Saccharomyces cerevisiae S288C: one gene and its partner. The protein of the gene in region 1 purifies or fractionates together with the protein of each later gene. This does not show direct contact. Each region holds a gene or a part of one and is shown in the gene's direction. Other genes may lie near its edges.

Evidence for each region.
Region 2: the proteins of SDH6 (region 1) and SDH2 purify together in Saccharomyces cerevisiae (affinity purification with western blotting; 2 studies listed by BioGRID, with this or other methods). This does not show direct contact.

What each region holds. Positions count from the first base shown.
Region 1 is NC_001136.10:1,232,549-1,235,578, reverse strand, and holds SDH6 (Sdh6p), read left to right. Parts: upstream 1-2,061; coding exon 2,062-2,301; downstream 2,302-3,030. Other genes in the region: phenylpyruvate decarboxylase ARO10, read right to left, coding at 1-1,361; GTPase-activating protein RGA2, read right to left, coding at 2,383-3,030. UniProt on the Saccharomyces cerevisiae protein: Plays an essential role in the assembly of succinate dehydrogenase (SDH), an enzyme complex (also referred to as respiratory complex II) that is a component of both the tricarboxylic acid (TCA) cycle and the mitochondrial electron transport chain, and which couples the oxidation of succinate to fumarate with the reduction of ubiquinone (coenzyme Q) to ubiquinol.
Region 2 is NC_001144.5:52,548-55,790, reverse strand, and holds SDH2 (succinate dehydrogenase iron-sulfur protein subunit SDH2), read left to right. Parts: upstream 1-1,859; coding exon 1,860-2,660; downstream 2,661-3,243. Other genes in the region: membrane morphogenesis protein VPS13, read left to right, coding at 1-1,580; ATG10 (E2-like conjugating enzyme), read left to right, coding at 3,201-3,243. UniProt on the Saccharomyces cerevisiae protein: Subunit of succinate dehydrogenase (SDH) that is involved in complex II of the mitochondrial electron transport chain and is responsible for transferring electrons from succinate to ubiquinone (coenzyme Q). SDH1 and SDH2 form the catalytic dimer.

The sequences.
Region 1 (3,030 bases):
AAATCACGAACAGAGAATTGAAAAGAGCCTGTTTCACAAACGACAACATCACCAGGGTTCAAAAATTTAGGCATCGTCTTTTGTAAGTGAACTTGTGTAATAATGCTTGATTGTCCATTGGTAGGATCTTCTAACCGCATTGTTTCGTTCGTATATTGAGTTACATTTGAATCATATTGCAAAGAAAGTTTAGAAACGTCAATGCGCTTGTATAGTTCTTTTAAAATAGGGGCAAAATTGATTCCTTTGAACATTTGCTCATTGCCCTGCCTAGTGTCCACAAGGCGAATATAATTCGGATGAAATTGAATGATTTTAGCATTTGGTTTATAAGTAAAAGTATAATGCCCATTATTAATTTCATTGATGTCGACTCCAAAATGCAAGACCAAGTCGCACAGTTCAAAATGTTCATAGACTTGTTTTAAACCTTCTTTACCATTATATTGACCCATATAAGTTGGGTTTGACTCATCAATTACAGATTTTCCCATAACAGTGGAAAAATTCCAAATCCCAGTTTTGCAGATAAGCTTGTTCAAAAAGTTACTCACACCATACCTATCAGTCAGTACGTCTCCAAGGATCGCAGGTGTTTTACTGGAATATATCCAACTAGTAATCTTGTTGATTATGTCAGACAATTGGTTTTCAGAAGGGTATACTATACAATCTTGTTGAGATATACGTGGAACATTAACCAAATTATCACATGTAACAGACATATCCGCAAAATCTGCAGGAACAAAAATATAACCAGGTTTAGAATACTTGTAAATATCGCGGATAACATTATCGACTTGGTCACATGCAGTTTCAATATCCTCCAAGTAGGCTACCGAGCAAGCGACTCTATCTTTTACCATATCATGATATACTTTATGATTTGGCCCTTTAAAATTTGAATCATGTAGCTGTGGGACCAAATGATGTAGGTTCCGATCACTAAAGTTACTTGAACGCGAATCTATGGACTTGGCCACACCAACAATGTGCAAAACTTTGACATTTTCAGCGAACGAACCGGCTATACCGTTCAAGGCGCTTAATTCACCAACGCCATACGTGGTTATTAAACAGCCAATCTTATTAGAGTAACGGGAATATCCGTCGGCCGCATAAGCGGCGTTCAGTTCATTACACGTGCCGACCCATCTTAGGCCAGCTGATTCAACACTAGGTGAATAGAGATATTCTAATAGAGATAAGTTGAAGTCACCAGGAACACCGAAAACTGATTTCGTATCGATGGACAACAATCTTTTAAATATGTATTCACCAAACGGAATTGTTGCTGATCGGTTGGAAACAAGGTGTCGTTCTTCTTGATTTACGAACTTTTCAATTGTAACAGGTGCCATGCTTAAGGGAGTTTCTTTGTTATCTTGTAAATAAACTTTACAGAAGTCGCGTCAACTTGTTTTGAGTATCAAGTTGAGAGGGTTGATCAGTTAAATATGTTTTATATCAGATTTTATGTAGTATTAATAAACGCAGAAAAAAAATGAAAGTGAGCTGCCGCTGTAGTGACGATGCAAACTAGCCCAGTTTATATCTTAAACTTTACTCAACACAATAAATAAGATGCCACTAACCTATTACATACCGACACTTACCGAAGGTATCAAAGCTCCGCCGCACAAAAGTACGACAAATGCTCAGCATGACCTCGGCAATTTTCGGTAAATGACGGCTATCCGCGGTTATCCCTCCCGGTAGGTAACCGACACTTTGGAGAGGATTCGCAAAGGCTCAAAGTAATATATGACGGCTTTTTCAAAAAATAGCCTAAGCCTACTACCAAATGTTAATAAGGAAGCTACATGAGGTGTACAAGCATCGAATTTTGGATTATCTTTTTCGCTAAGACGTTGTTGTACGCTTTCAATCCTGCTTTTTTAAATTTCGGTGGACGAACCAATCTAAAATGTAGTAAAACTGGTAGATGTTAATTAATTAACCTTGCAAAGCCGAAGAAAAAAAGGGGTTCGCCAAATTATTCTTAACAAAGATAATGTAGCTTAAACACACAAGAAGAAGAGGAGACGCAATACCAAGAGCATGCCTAAGAGATTAAGTGGGTTACAAAAAGAAGTCTTACACCTGTATAGGGCTTCCATACGAACGGCTCATACAAAACCAAAGGAAAACCAAGTTAATTTTGTGAATTATATTCATGAAGAATTTGGGAAGTATAGAAATTTGCCAAGAAAAGACTTCACCACCATTGAACACTTGTTACGGGTCGGAAACAAAAAAATTGCCACCTTTTCACACCCTGAACTGACGAATATACATTGAACTATTTTCTTACTTTATTCTTTTTTCATATGATTTCTTATTTAATCTATCCTATGTTTATTTAACTTTTGCAAATCTGTATTATGCTTGCTTAAATATGTCTCTATAGTTTCCAAGTATAAATTCCACGATATAATTCCTCTCCTTCATGTCCACAATATCTTTCTCGCCGTCAAAATCGTGGATAAGACTCGGTGCAAAGACCAACGACAAGTTATGTAAGTTCATTAAATTTCTTTCACTGCACCTTCGAACTTTGCCGATATGTGCTGCCAATACTTTCAATACTTCCTGATGCTCTACGGGTAAAATTTTGAAAATTTCAAGTAGGCTTTTGAGCACCATTTCATAAATAGTCACTTTTTGTGGTGAATCCAAAAACTTGTCGTTGTTTAATGGTAGCCTCTCAATTAGTTGGTTATTTCTAACTAGATCTATCAAGGCATCGTATATGGAAAATGATAAAACTGGATCTGGTAGTTTTCTCAAATATCGTTTTAATACGCTAGCCACTGCATGAATATCTTGATTCAGTAAAGCATTCAGTTTGGGACTTAATGTATCACTATGCAACGAATTATTCTGAGCGAATTCATTTTCGATCTCCTCAACCAAAGTCTGTGAGCCCGACTTTCTGTATAAGCCTTCCATGTTCAGGCCTATATCATCTTTTTCAATGCGATCAATGCAGCACCTGATAATTATTGGAACAGTACTTTTTTCATACGC
Region 2 (3,243 bases), on another chromosome or scaffold:
CTAAAGCATACCAGACTTTCAGTTGGAAAATGAAATGGATGCAAATAGATAATCAATTATTTTCAGGAAACTACTCAAATATTCTATATCCAACAGAAATCCCCTACACAGAAAAGGAAATTGAAAATCATCCAGTGATATCAGGTTCTATTTCTAAAGTCAACGATTCCTTACAGGCTGTCCCATACTTTAAACATGTTACGTTATTAATCCAGGAATTTTCCATACAATTAGATGAAGACATGCTGTATGCTATGATGGACTTCATAAAATTCCCAGGATCCCCATGGATCATGGATTCAAGAGATTATAAGTACGATGAAGAAATCCAGTTACCTGATGTTTCTGAATTAAAAACGGCGGGTGATATATATTTCGAGATCTTCCATATTCAGCCCACCGTCTTACATCTGTCCTTTATACGCTCCGATGAAATTAGTCCAGGATTGGCTGAAGAGACCGAGGAGTCATTTTCGTCATCATTGTACTATGTCCATATGTTTGCTATGACATTAGGTAATATAAATGAGGCGCCGGTTAAAGTTAATTCTTTGTTCATGGATAATGTAAGAGTCCCATTGCCCATTCTGATGGACCATATTGAGAGACACTATACGACCCAGTTCGTGTATCAGATCCACAAAATTTTAGGATCAGCAGATTGTTTTGGTAATCCTGTAGGTCTTTTCAACACAATTAGTTCCGGTGTCTGGGACTTATTCTATGAACCATATCAAGGTTACATGATGAATGATAGGCCTCAAGAAATTGGTATACATCTGGCTAAAGGTGGACTAAGTTTTGCAAAGAAAACAGTCTTTGGCCTCTCTGATAGTATGTCCAAGTTTACGGGGTCGATGGCCAAGGGCCTGTCAGTTACACAAGATCTGGAATTCCAAAGGGTCAGGAGATTACAACAAAGAATAAATAAAAACAACAGGAATGCCTTGGCAAACTCAGCGCAATCCTTTGCCAGCACACTGGGAAGCGGGTTGAGCGGAATTGCACTGGACCCATACAAGGCCATGCAAAAGGAAGGCGCCGCTGGTTTCCTCAAAGGCCTTGGTAAAGGTATCGTTGGGCTGCCAACTAAGACAGCCATTGGATTCTTAGATCTTACAAGTAACTTAAGTCAAGGCGTGAAAAGTACCACCACTGTGCTTGACATGCAAAAGGGTTGCAGAGTGCGTCTACCAAGGTACGTGGACCATGATCAAATCATCAAGCCTTATGATCTACGTGAGGCCCAAGGACAATACTGGCTCAAGACCGTGAATGGAGGAGTATTTATGAATGATGAATACCTGTCGCACGTTATATTGCCAGGCAAAGAACTAGCAGTAATTGTGTCCATGCAGCACATTGCTGAGGTGCAAATGGCCACCCAAGAGCTTATGTGGAGCACAGGATATCCTTCCATCCAGGGAATTACATTGGAAAGATCCGGTCTTCAAATTAAACTCAAGTCTCAATCCGAATACTTCATTCCCATCAGCGATCCTGAAGAACGTCGGTCCTTGTACAGGAACATCGCCATTGCTGTTAGAGAATACAATAAGTACTGTGAAGCTATCCTATGATCACATATGAAAGTATATACCCGCTTTTGTACACTATGTAGCTATAATTCAATCGTATTATTGTAGCTCCGCACGACCATGCCTTAGAAATATCCGCAGCGCGCAAAAGGCGGCCTCGCATTGGCCCAATTAGCTCCGGTGTAAAAAGGGCAAACTTATATAAGGGGATTAATGACTTTCTATGAGAATGCCAAAAAATGTTAGGCTAAAGGAAGGGATTGAAAGGAATATAGTTGAGCTATACTTTCTTGAAATACTGGAGTATACATATTTATAGGGATGTTGAACGTGCTATTGAGAAGGAAGGCCTTTTGTTTGGTGACGAAGAAGGGTATGGCTACTGCCACAACAGCTGCAGCTACGCATACCCCCAGATTGAAAACTTTTAAAGTTTACAGATGGAATCCAGACGAGCCAAGTGCTAAACCTCATTTACAGTCATATCAAGTGGATCTGAATGACTGTGGGCCCATGGTACTTGATGCGCTGTTAAAGATCAAAGACGAACAGGATTCTACCCTAACTTTTAGAAGATCATGTAGAGAAGGTATCTGCGGTTCATGTGCCATGAACATTGGCGGTAGAAACACGCTAGCTTGTATATGTAAGATCGACCAGAACGAATCCAAACAACTCAAGATCTATCCATTACCCCACATGTTTATTGTCAAAGATTTGGTACCTGATTTAACTAACTTCTACCAACAATACAAATCTATCCAACCTTACTTACAGAGATCATCGTTTCCAAAGGATGGAACGGAAGTGCTACAAAGTATTGAAGATCGTAAGAAACTGGATGGTCTTTACGAATGTATTCTGTGTGCATGCTGCTCTACTTCATGTCCATCGTACTGGTGGAACCAAGAACAGTATTTGGGCCCTGCCGTGCTAATGCAAGCCTACCGTTGGCTAATTGACTCTAGAGACCAAGCTACAAAGACAAGAAAGGCCATGCTAAACAACTCCATGTCATTGTACAGATGTCACACCATCATGAACTGTACTAGAACTTGTCCAAAGGGCTTGAATCCTGGTTTGGCTATTGCTGAAATTAAGAAATCTTTGGCATTTGCCTAGACTATCAGAAAAACAGCTAGCCCCGAAGAACTCAGAAGCCTCTCAAATGATTTTGGCACTAATAAAAGCACCAACTATTATTATTATTATTTTCAAGGACGAAACTCACCATTCTCACACATTCCTATACGTTAGGCGTTTATGTTTACTCTCTATGACTATTATTTATTTATCATTGGCAATGCTATGACCCGGTCTGTATATATGTCCATCATAGGCGACAAGGTGTTCTAGTATCTTCAGGTATTGTTGTTTTTAAGGATGAATTTATATCTTTGTTTTTGAAGGGCCTTTTGGCTTCTCTCCCCTATTTATTCAATTTATAACTATTTATTATATTAATACACGCGTAATGCTTAAGGTTTATTATTAAAGGACTGTTTTTATATTTACATGCCTGTAGTTAATTATATTTTCGTTGTGAAATTTCTGTTAAGAAACTCTATATGAAAGGTAACGAACTTAAAATTGAAAAGCAATGAGAAGAGAACACCATGAAAAAAAAAAAAAAAGGGCTAAAAAACAGAATTATCAGACTTGATGATTCCTTACCAGGAGTGGCATAGCCAACTGCAATCGTTGT